3 linked regions of the Daphnia pulex genome follow. The protein of the gene in region 2 purifies or fractionates together with the protein of the main gene of each other region. This does not show direct contact. Links are inferred from orthologs where the notes say so. Each region holds a gene or a part of one and is shown on either strand. Other genes may lie near its edges.

What was found. The genes of interacting proteins can lie anywhere in the genome.
Region 1: the proteins of transcriptional adapter 2-alpha-like (region 2) and WD repeat-containing protein 5 purify together in Drosophila melanogaster (affinity purification with mass spectrometry, with the first as the bait; 3 studies listed by BioGRID). This does not show direct contact. The link is inferred for Daphnia pulex from reciprocal best matches to the Drosophila melanogaster genes Ada2a and wds.
Region 3: the proteins of transcriptional adapter 2-alpha-like (region 2) and SAGA-associated factor 29-like purify together in Drosophila melanogaster (affinity purification with mass spectrometry, with the first as the bait; 3 studies listed by BioGRID). This does not show direct contact. The link is inferred for Daphnia pulex from reciprocal best matches to the Drosophila melanogaster genes Ada2a and Sgf29.

The regions. Positions count from the first base shown.
Region 1 is NC_060023.1:11,642,758-11,646,793, forward strand, and holds WD repeat-containing protein 5, read right to left. Parts: upstream 2,786-4,036; 5' UTR 2,306-2,785; coding exon 2,210-2,305; intron 2,127-2,209; coding exon 2,030-2,126; intron 1,957-2,029; coding exon 1,793-1,956; intron 1,731-1,792; coding exon 1,641-1,730; intron 1,579-1,640; coding exon 1,439-1,578; intron 1,361-1,438; coding exon 1,210-1,360; intron 1,140-1,209; coding exon 1,059-1,139; intron 1,000-1,058; coding exon 912-999; intron 818-911; coding exon 717-817; 3' UTR 517-716; downstream 1-516. Other genes in the region: transcriptional adapter 1-like, read left to right, coding at 1-96, 167-332, 399-482.
Region 2 is NC_060028.1:9,055,644-9,059,912, forward strand, and holds the start of transcriptional adapter 2-alpha-like, read right to left. Parts: upstream 2,827-4,269; 5' UTR 2,476-2,826; intron 2,439-2,475; coding exon of another isoform or gene 2,175-2,438; intron 1,721-2,174; coding exon of another isoform or gene 1,598-1,720; intron 668-1,597; coding exon of another isoform or gene 430-667; intron 361-429; coding exon of another isoform or gene 234-360; intron 1-233. Other genes in the region: uncharacterized protein LOC124209580, read left to right, coding at 234-360, 430-667, 1,598-1,720, 2,175-2,438, 3,990-4,241. UniProt on the Drosophila melanogaster protein: Component of the histone acetyltransferase (HAT) complex ATAC; predominantly involved in acetylation of histone H4, including at Lys-6 (H4K5ac) and Lys-13 (H4K12ac).
Region 3 is NC_060019.1:9,072,380-9,075,839, reverse strand, and holds SAGA-associated factor 29-like, read right to left. Parts: upstream 2,018-3,460; 5' UTR 1,898-2,017; intron 1,839-1,897; 5' UTR 1,741-1,838; coding exon 1,702-1,740; intron 1,640-1,701; coding exon 1,505-1,639; intron 1,445-1,504; coding exon 1,322-1,444; intron 1,259-1,321; coding exon 1,100-1,258; intron 1,034-1,099; coding exon 805-1,033; intron 724-804; coding exon 545-723; 3' UTR 517-544; downstream 1-516. Other genes in the region: uncharacterized protein LOC124191408, read left to right, coding at 147-245, 303-443. UniProt on the Drosophila melanogaster protein: Component of both the SAGA and CHAT histone acetyltransferase complexes, which both predominantly acetylate histone H3.

The DNA of each region.
Region 1 (4,036 bases), on a different chromosome or scaffold from region 2:
CCTTCGAGAGAACAAAGTCATCTATTCGGTTGGCCAACCTACAATTAATCCGTGGCTACACAATTCATGGTCCATCCAAGACAGTACCAGTAACAGGTAAATATTTATTGTACAGTCCTATTCTTTTTCAACAACAATGTTTCTAAGTGTTCTCATTTTAAATCAGTTATCTGACCGAAATTTCGCAAGCTGCGGAACCACCTCACGTTCCTGCCATACCCCAAACATCTCAGAAAGCAGAGCGGGATTCCGCATTCTACCTAGCGTGCACTACCGAACAAGTTACCGCACTTCAACCGATTTCCGTTCTTGACGTTTTTCAAACTTTACAAGTAAGTCGATATTTAATTTCAAAACTTCAAACTAATCCTCATGTTTCTTTATTGAATAAACAATAGGTTAAAAAGGGCGTCATTCCCTGGCACACAGTGCACGCCGTCAATATGGAACGCATTTCACAGCGCCTCTATCACCCCAATTAAACTCGAATCTACTTGCTTAAAGAAATTATAACGATTAAAAAAAAAGATGTTTGTATTGTCGACGAGGAGGCCATGAGAAGTCAAGAATGCCAGGAAACTTTTTTATACCAAGAAATTGCATTTTTTTTTCCTCAAAATTCTCCTATAAAGTACACACCTCAAAACTGCTTTTCATCGTCTTTTTTCCCATTATTTTTTGTTGTTGGTTCATTGCGACAAAGCTAAATGCGCGGTCTACGTGTCGGAACGCCAGAGCTTGATAGTCTTATCGTTCTCCAATGCAGCAGATGCGATGATATTATCGGTCGGATGGCATGCAGTACACAGCACGACATCTAGAATGAAACATGAAGGGATATAAGTTCGCGTGTGACGTCTAGACAAATTAAATGTGAAAGAAGGAGCAGGTCCCCCGGTAGGAAGCCTTACCGGTGTGTCCTTGAAGTTTCTGAACAATTTCCTTCGTTTGCAAGTTCCAAATATAAACCATGTTGTCTTCAGAGCCGGAAACGATCCACTGCAGAAAGAAAAACATGTTCAAGTAAAAGAATGAAACGTGGATTGTTAAAGCAGTACTTTTCCTCCAGTAACCGAAAAATTGGCAAAGATGCAATATTTCTCGTTTTTGTGGCCGGTGTAGGTTTTCAAGCATTTGCCCTGAAACGAGCCAAAGAAAAAAGAATGGTAAAATCTGCAAAAATCTTTAGAGTTGAATTCATGATGACACCTTGGAATAGTCCCACAACTTCAGTGTGTTGTCGAGAGTTGCAGCCAGGATGTATTTTCCGTTGGGTGAAAATTTGACAAACGAGACGGGAGGATTGTCATCATCGATCAGCGTTTTTAGGCACTGGCCGGAAGCCGTGTCCCAGATGCGGCTGTAAACAAGTGATCAACACCACCAATCGATAAAATTAAGAGGTCGAATTTATTTAGTAAAATGAACACGATTATACCAAAGGCCATCGTAGCTTGACGAAACGATAAGAGATCCGTCCCGGTTAAAATGAACCGCTGATACGGGATCTGAATGGGCAGGAAGGGTTTTCAAACATTTTCCGGTTTTGACGTCCCAGATGCGCACACTCTCGTCAAACTGCAAACAATTCAAAAAGGTCAATAGCCTATTTTAAAGAAGGCGAGTGGTTGAAAACTTACTGAGCCTGAGACAATCAAGTTGGATTGGGGATTGAAATTGCAACAGAAAACATAATTGCTGTGTCCTTTTAATGTCTTCAAACATTTCCCCTATAAGAACATACATGAATTAGAGATGAGCTAACATCACAAATAAATGGTTAAAGACTTACTGAGCTCAGTTCCCAGATCTTGAGGGTTTTATCATCACTGGCAGACACAAGCAGGCGGCTATCAGAAGACCAAGCTACATCTGAGATACCAAGTTTATGACCTGTGATTGATTTCTCAAATTTGCCATCATAGGCACCCCAAATCTTCACCAGTTTATCAGCAGCTATTCATGATAAAAAAATTATAACATTATTAGAAATATAATTCTCCTGAACATACACCATCAAAATATTTACATGAACTTGCAAGCCATTCTCCATTTGGGCTGAATTTCACAGCTGACACAGCTTTTGTGTGGCCAGCTAGGGTAAACTTGAGGGCATAGTTTGGCTTCTAAATACAATATTGAATTAAGATTACTTTTTATCCTAAAATGCTGTAAGAATTGAAAATTCCGGGTTGGAAGGGTTACTCACCAACCCCGATGCTGGCTTTGCTTGAAGAGGAGAAGTAGTTGAATTATTACTGTGGTTCTTAAAATCCTGATCACCTTTCATTTTATCATCAGCCATTTTGATTAAATAAGAAGTTGCCAACAGTATACTTGAATCTCAAGCACAATAGCGAATTTACAATGTTTTCCTGGACAGTGATGAGTGGACTCAACAGTCAGCTGCTACACTGGCACAGGATTGTTAATCAGTGTTTGGCAACTATCCAAACTGTATTAATATTTTTTGTTTTTTTTGCAAATTTTTCTTATGATTCGTAGACGGCCTCAACACCTTTCTTTTATTTAGTGTAAGGTACGCACGAGATTTGCCCAGCTGTGTGCCTTAATAATATTTTGCATTACAGGCACTGAACTGCGGTAATAAAGAACATGGTCGTTCTCTTCTTCTTCACCAACTGTCACAAGCAACACTGAAACACTCAACACAAATAGTGTAATAAGTGAATCCAATTAAAGTCGCCGTCAAAACGTGAGAATCCAACAAAACGCAACACTTAACATTCGTGACAACGCTTTCGGCAGCACGGGTTTACTACTCGTGTTGAGCCAAACGTCCACCAGATGGCGTCGACTTGATCAGCGACATCTATGATTAACTAACCAAGTTTAGACTGGATTCGCGCCAAGAGTTTGAAATTTAAAATCGAGTTTCCTCGTTCAGGTTTTATCTCATGCGCAAGCTTAGTGGAAATGGGGTGAACATGTTCATTTCAACCATAAGTAGTTCACTACTAATCTAGACGTATTTGTCGTTTATAACACAAGAGTAGTCATGTGATTTAATAGTAAACGGTAAAATGCTTTTAATCTAATGATCTAATTATTTGTTTTCAAAATATCAGCACTATGTCGTAGAGATTTAGATTCACAGATAAACGAGTAACGATGATCGGTACAACTCAAGTCATTCCATTCATGAATAAGGAGGGTTTCATTAAACGTTAAAACCCAAATTAGACATTCTTCTTGTGTACTTCCATGTACACGTGATGGTTCTCCCTCTTGCCAATTCATTTCTCTCGTGAGAATATCGCCTGTACCAGCCCACATCCAAGTTGATCGATTGCCGTAAAGACGATTACCGGATGTCAAGTATAATTGTTTTTGAACTAAATTTTGAAAATTAGATTTCATTCAATTATACTTTGTAAAGAACATTTCCGTGATCACCATTTTTTTTCTCTGCTTTGAGTTGTTTGGCTAAATTGTTTTCTTCTTCTTTCGTCTCAAGCGACAGCAATTCCATGCCGTACTGCCGGCAATAATGGAGAGCACTCCACCAGTTTCTCTGTGAAATAATTAGTGATGTAACCCAACAAGTGATTGAATTTCATTTAAATGAGACTGCTCTATATGTGTTTTATAATACATCTTCAGAGACGATGCAGTAGCATTCGCCGTTTACTTTCAAACAACGAAATTTTTTGGCCGTGAAATGTTTTGGGCAAGTTCCTTGTTACGCGAATTAAAAGATCAATTAAAGAAAGGTGAGTGTGAATAACTAAAAAGAAGTTAACCATTCATACCATGAATCAGGATATCGTTAATGTGATCCTCCTTTGAAATCTAATATTAACACAAAAAGAAAATTAATTTAAAAAACGACTAATTACAGATTAAATGATTTACCGTTTCAATCAGTGCAAAATATTCATCCTCGAGACTTTCAATTTCTTGTAAAAAGCTCGTGGATTCAGCACTAACAGGTGTAATTGGTACTATCACGCACAAACTGGCCATCAAGAAAACGATGAACGAGAAACTCAAAAAGTAGAAACAGTCGTTGGTT
Region 2 (4,269 bases):
CGCATCTGGCCGCGTAATGGCCTCGTAGTCAATGAGTTTGCCCGCTACCGATCGTCACGATTCTCTCCAATATTTTTCCCCTTCTCTTCCAAAAATAAAAATTAAAAAAAAGGGAATCACGGCAGACGAAAATAGATCGACCGGGTTTTTCCCCGTTTGCAATCGAGCTCTCTTTGTGGTGGTATCATCAACTTGAACGGGAATATCCCGCAAATCGTTTGATTACTCAACAGGGTTGTGCAGAGCTGGAACCACATTCCGGCACGCTGGAATGGGCCGTCCTTATTGGAACAGACACAAAGCCCGTCGGAAATCCGAGTCGGAGAAACGACTCGTCTGCGAGAAATATCTTTACATCAGGTAATAATCATCAAATACATTCAAAACTCCCGCCCAATCGAATTCTTAATTTCTTTTCTCTGAAAAAAGCACAATGACATTGACGGAAGAGATCCGGCGCTGCCTGCGGATGCCAACATTCGATAATTGGCAATGGGAGGACGAGGAGATCCTGCTGCTCCTGCAGCAAATGTACGTCGATTTGGATTTGCTGAGCAAATTCGACATCGACCTCGACGTCCTGCGCAAATTCCTCTGTCAAGTTTACATGAACTACAACGAGGTGCCGTTCCACAATTTCCAGCACTGCTTCACCGTCAGTCAAATGGTAAGCGGGCGAAAACAAACATAACAGACAAAAATGTGTGGGGGCTGCTGGTCTCCCAGCCAAGACAACGCCGGGGGGCCTTGGTTACTCTATTGATCGACAGAAAGAAGAAAAAAGATGATGGCCGTGTCAACCGCAATGCTAACACACACACACACACACACACACACACAAAACCGCTTGTCTAATAGTCGAACAGACGATCGTATCGTTTGTTTCGAACTCTCATGTCGGGTCGAACCTGCGTGATCTTTTTACATCGATCGTCTCTAGCGATCAAAAACTAAACACACATACACGCAACAATTGGCAACACACCGTGAAAGATACGGGAATGGAAAAAAAGAAACAAGAAATAACTCGTTGGAAATTTCTCAAGCGAGAGTAGGAGGGAAATCGCCCAACGTAGCGTGTGTACACCCACCCACACACACACAAAATACATGTATAATATACTCCCGCAGATTCTATATGAAACTTTCTCCTTTGTCGGGAATACGTTACACAAGCGATAGTTCAAGAGTGCGCCGCCGTTGTTATTGTTCAAACAAGGCGCCCCCTGCCCGCCTGCTGCACTATGTAAAAGGAGCGAAGAGCTACTTACTTACTCAGACTCTCGAAATAATAACCCAAAATCGATTTGCAGTTGGTACACTACGTCTAATCATCGAGAGTGAGCGTTTCCCGTCAAATTTTAATTAAAAAACAAGAAAAATGGCGGGGATGCCCCGAGGCGAAATTTGCGCGTCTAAAAATATATTCAAAGAAATTCGACGCCCCTGTGTACCGACGCTTTGCATGTCAAAGTGATGAAGAAAAAGCCCATTTGAAATGTGTGTGTGTGTGTGTCCTTCATCAGCATATGACGGGCGATCGAGTGAAACTTTAATGACATGCATATACTCCTTCCTTTTCTATGTGCGCTTGCAGATGTACGGCATCATTTGGTGCCTGGATTTACCAGACAAAATCGGCGACCTGGAAACGCTGATCCTCTTGACTTCCTGCATATGCCACGACCTCGATCATCCGGGATTCAACAACATTTATCAGGTAACCCGTGCTGTGACGCTCGTTTTTCATATTTCATTTAGAGCTGATATTTCCGATAGAGTGGGGCGTCACATTAGCAGTTAAACAGCAGCAGCGACGGTTTTGGCAGAGTGGCGGCCATGGAAAGAAAAAAAGTGCTTTTCCCGGGAATATATTACATTCGTAATGACACGCAGTCACACGGAGAGCGGGCGAGAGAATGATGGGGGGTAGAGCGAGAGCCTTCATTAATTACTGAGCAGCTAGCAGCCTCGACTTTACTTGTGTGTGTGTGTACATTTCGCTTTGATATACACCTCCTCCTCATCTAATCGATTCTACACAGAGTTTGTGCATCGCCTACGGGCTTCCTCCTCCTCCCCGTCAATAAACAACGGCCTGTCTACTGTATAGACATTTAAGAAACTTTTCTACATGTACTAAAAAGGTCTAATCAAGTCCAATCTGACAACAGATCAACGCCAGGACGGAGCTGGCCCTGCGCTACAATGACATTTCGCCGCTGGAAAATCACCACTGCTCGGTGGCGTTCAACATTTTGGAAGATTCGACGGCCAACATTTTCCGATCCTTCACGGCCGACGTCTACAAAAGCGTCCGCGAGGGAATCATCCGCTGCATTCTGGCGACCGACATGGCCCGTCACAACGAGATCCTCAACCAGTTCAATCAAATCGCCCCCATCTTTGATTACGACAATCGAGCCCACATCAATCTGGTAAGTGTGTGACACATGTGTAGGTGGGGCCACTTACCTTTTATCGGTGACAAAAGTTTCCCGTCGTGATGAGTCCCGGAAATGAAGGCCGGCCAGTGCGATCTGGGCACTAAACGTCACCTGCAAACACTTTGTGGCTGTCAGTTTCCATGGGCACCAATCAAACTCGTCGGTGTAGACGCACTTTTGGAGCTCAGGTAGAGAGTAACAAGTGTAACAGTCTGATCAAGTCTGACGTCAAAGCTCGGCACGCTGATTAATGTAGACACACGCAGCTGGTCGACGGGAGAGAATTCCGGAAATTGTAACAGCAGCAGCAGAGAGAATGAATAAACGCCATTACCCAACTCGACGTCGTCAATTTGAGCAGACGAATTTACCCAAAAACTTGAACGACAAAAGAAGAAAACAAAGTGCAGACGACGTTGCCTATTTTCGTGAAATGGCACAACTCAAATGAAATCGAAGCGAAAAAAGGTGTTTCTCGGTACCATTTCCATACCTAAATAAATAAGAAAAAAAAAAGTTTCGAGTGCCATCGTGTGACATTTCTCTTTGTGCGAGTGGAAAATCACGAGCTGTAAACTACGGTGGAAAGTGGCAAGTTGGTAAACGAAATCAATTTCGTCTGCAAGTTTAATGCGATTTTGGAGGGAGGGGATCAACTCCTGCTGGAATGATTCGTTTCGATTTCAAATGAATGACAGTGTCAAAAAGAAAAGTTTCCAGAGCAAAACAATTCCGTCATTTGCATGAGACATATTATATAGACTCTCGTGCAGTGTCTATATGTACACTCGAGTCTGTATAGATCGACTCTATAATGATTTCCAGTCTCTCCTCCGCGTCTCCTTTTATTTCGTTTTTAATGTGTGCCAGAGCAGGTTCAACAAAAGGAGCTAGCTCCCGCTCCCAGCTGTGATAAGTTTGCCAGTAGGAACTCGAGCGGAAATTGTTTCACGCGTTCGACAAGTGGATGATGAAACGGCTTTTGCCGATTGTATCAGACATCAAACGAATCACGAGCAGCACAAGAAGACTCGTCGGCAGCTTTGCCAAACAAATCTCCTGCAAAAGACGCGCAGTCAAACAAAAAAAGACCCATATGCTCAGCTTTCACCCCCGTCTAACGCCATGTTTTATTCCGGGGTCTTTTGTGTTTTGAATTGCGTAATGATCGTCGACTTGAATCGACAGAGAGAAAAGCAGATTAATTAAAGGTTCTGAATGCCATTTTCCAGTGTTGTGTGTACTTACGTATAACGGCAGAAAATCGGGGAGGTTGACTGTCATCTCACCTTTCCAGGGAACAATTTCGTCGGCTATTGATTTTCTTTCCCTTCCCTTAATCGTATTCTCTAACGTGTAGGAGAATACAGACGAGTGCGCCATGATCCGACTTTCTCCATCCGGAAGTCGTAGAAAATGAACTTAAAAAATGCAGACTTGTCTATTTTGTCGCCAAAGAAAAGATCGATATGTCGCTCATCGCTCTTTTTTTTCCCGCTCTTTTTTTTAAAAATGTCGGAACGCGACAAATATGACGGGCAGCTGTGCATGGTGCTGATCAAAGTGTCGGACATTTCGAACGAAGCCAGGCCGATGGATGTGGCCGAGCCGTGGCTGGATTGCCTCCTGCAGGAATTCTTCGAGCAGAGCGACCGCGAGAAAATGGAAGGCTTACCCGTCACGCCTTTCATGGACCGGGACAAGATCACCAAACCGTCGTCCCAATGCTCCTTCATCGGATTCGTTTTGCTTCCGCTCTTCGAGGCCATCGGTCGCCTTTATCCCGAACTAGACGTAATAAAACAAATCAAAAATATTTTTT
Region 3 (3,460 bases), on a different chromosome or scaffold from region 2:
GTAACATTTCCCCGATTTAGTTCGAGCAGATGTAATGTGAACTAAAACACTTTACTTTTAAAAATTAATTAACTGTCCATTTTGTGGTTGTGAGACTACTACATAATTCATAAAATCTGTGTTCTAATTCTTTTTCTTATTCATAGGGCGACAAAACTCAGATTACTCGCTATTGGGTTGGTAAATATCTTCTTGCTGGATGGCTGGTTTTGGGAATTACCTACAATCTGAAGTACAACTCTCATGTAAGTATTTGCCTCTAATAGTGGACAGCACCCAAAATACTACATTTTAACTTTTAGGACTGGACTCGCAAGAAAGGATTTGCAATTTTCGGCTCCAGACCCGCAGTTTACCCAGGAGATCCGAACTTCCCTAAAGTTTCCGATAAAATGAAGCCTTCTGACTACGCCGACTACGGATTCAAAAACTCCCCCATTTAGATTCTATTTCATGTTTCATACGTGGTTGGAAGAAGTAGTGAAAAACACAAATCCTGCTGTACAGAAGAGAGAATAGAAAAAAGGGTCAAATGTATTTGAAATCATTTCTTTTTCTCTTTGATAGCTATGACATATCGTTGCGCCACCATCAAAGGCGGACTGAATCCTTCAGTATAGCTAGAATCTTCAAAAAGAACTTGGTATTCATCTTGAGCTGTTTGGGGTAATTGATTGATTACCGCTTTGTAAAAACAGGTCGTTTGTGGATACAAAGCCATGACTAAAAACAAATGTTTAGTATGTTAATAATATGCTAACGTCGGATCAGCTAAAATTTGCGATTTTTTTGTTTTGTTTTTACCAGTGGCTCCTTTTGAGAACAAAGCATCGGGATCGGTTTCAGGATTAGCTCGCATCAAAGGAAGAGGAATTACTCTGCGTTTGCTTAAAGTGTGTCGCTCTTTCTGTTCCTCGTCAATATCATCCACTTCATAGCGCCCAGAAGAAGCTAAATATTGAACGACTTCTGCCAAAATCCAATTCTCATCGCCGTCTGTACTCTTTACCAAAGCCGCAACAATATCTCCCAGCTGACATACATATAAGGTGTTTCGGTTAGTCAATTAACAGTTTATGACATTCGAATAATGTAATACTTTGGCAACGTAAGTTGGGTCAGCTGGAACTGCTCCACATAATGCTGGTGGCTGTTGTCCTGACTTACTGATCCACAGCGGGAGAGTTTGAGCAGTAACGAGAAGCATTTTCATGAGAGCACCTCTTCTTATAGTTTCCTTACTGCCAGCTTGTTTTGCCTGAACAAGAATGTTAGTACAATGTTAGGTGAAATTTTCTAAGTTTACGTTCTTGGGAATAACCTGAATTCTCCTTTCATGTCTGATAACGCGAATTTCATAGATTTTGCTTAATGCCTTACGAATAAGGTCCTCTTCTTTTTCAGCATCAGCCACCACAGAGCAATACAGTCCTTTTAATTTAGACTGATAATTTTATAGGCATTCATTAGTGCTGATTAATTAGTGATATGGGAATAGAAATACCTTGTGATATGGAGAAATTTTGTCATCTGACTGAAGTTTTTCATGAGCTTTGATAACAGCATTTAAGTTACCTTCATTACGAACTTTCTCTTCTTGAATCTGCTTGACCAACTTGTAGATCCCCTTCAATCGTTCCTGCACCCCAATCCAAATTAGAACTAAGTAAATACCTTAACAACTGATTATATCAACCTTACTTGGACTTGCTGTGTGGCAGAATCTAATGACAAAGCCATGATGTATATGTTTAATAACAACTACCTCTCCTAAATGATGAGCTCAAACCAGCAATGATGACTGGAATCCAAGCAAAAGCCACCAAGAAAACCAAGAACTAAAGAAAATTAAATTCTGAAATTTACATATCTTTTATGCACAGAAAAATAACCTTACTAAATTAATGAAGATGAGTTTAAAAACAGTCATCGGAAATCAGCCTTCCAAACAATAAATTGAAAATCGTAACATCGGCAGTTGCTTTGTCGTCACCATGGCAACTATGGCATCAACTGTATTAGTTCCATTCGTCATTAGCAGATGGCATGAGCATGCTCAAATTGTATAACCATGGCAATAATTTCTAAATCAGGCCTTTTTTTCGAGTGGTTTTATTATATAGCCTTTGATCATTTTCAACTCTCAAATTATTTAGTTATTTTGTAGTCAGTTATTTTAATATTTTGCACATCCCTGTAAAAATGTATCGGCATTGTGTGGTAACTTTTTGGTGATGACTGACGATAACTATTCCACCAAGAAAGCTCACCTGTTAATTTTTCGATAATTTTTTTTATCTACTAAATGTATTTCACGGAGATGACGAATATTTCGTTTATTTTCCGTCCCATTCTAGTCGTCCGTGGATGCTCAGGGCTGTCACTAGGTGGCTAAATATTTCAGCGTGTTTAGGGATTGAACTATTCAGCTCTAGTGTGTTTGTTTCTAGAGGGGTGTAGGGGGATGGGTCATCAAACTGTCAAAGTCCTGAGACGACTGACAGAACAGTCTTTCTTTTGCTGTCGAGACGCTGTCCGAGAAGGTAAAATTTAGTCATTGCTGGTACTTTCTTACGTGACATTGTTGATCATAGACATGGTAATTCCATTTTTTATTCTTTAATTTTATAAAATTTAATTTTGTGTGTGGTTCAAAACGTGTAACATTGTCTTCAATTCATAATTGGTAATCGCATGTGGCCTGCTGTACATTCCCACAATGTCGTCTCTTGCTGAATGTTGCACGTTTCGTTCCATGCAGAACAGTAAAAAGTAATTATTGCTTAACTTTTTAATTCAAGACTTTGTTTCTGAATTAAAATTGTGTGACTTTGTTTCAAAAAGTAATTTAAATTTTTCTATTAACTGTTGAGCAGTAAAGCCTGAGCTTCATTACGTTTTGTTTTGCAAATTGTTTCAATTTCCAGTTGAATTATGCCAAGAGCTTTCACAGACATGCACTTAACTTGTTAGAACACTCGAGTGGGTTAGAATTTGCCTATATTTTAGTCTACTTTAAAAGTGTGTGCTACACATGTGATTTTTGTCAGGAATCAGGTCAGACATTGAATTCTCGATTTAGATGACATTTTACAACAACTATATGTTTCTAATTAAGAGCTTTTGTGAAAAGATTTGCTCAATAGAATTGTATTTTTTAAATATAAAACAGAAATTAACCCTTTCTTGTATTTGAAAATGTAATTGGTTCATTGTTTTCCTTTGAACTTGATTTACAGGATTTCTTGGTTAGTTTGATGTTGGAGCTGCCAATGGTGTTGATGCAGCGTTCATGGTGTGAGCAGTGGTTTTGCAGTCATTTTCCAGTCGAGATGTCTTGAGGGCGCGTTTTCGCAATGGAGCTTGTCAAAATGGAATTTTCGCAAATGGAGCTTGTGCAGACATTCACTTCAACATCATATTTCAATGTGATATTTACGTAATGTTGATGTTCTTGCAG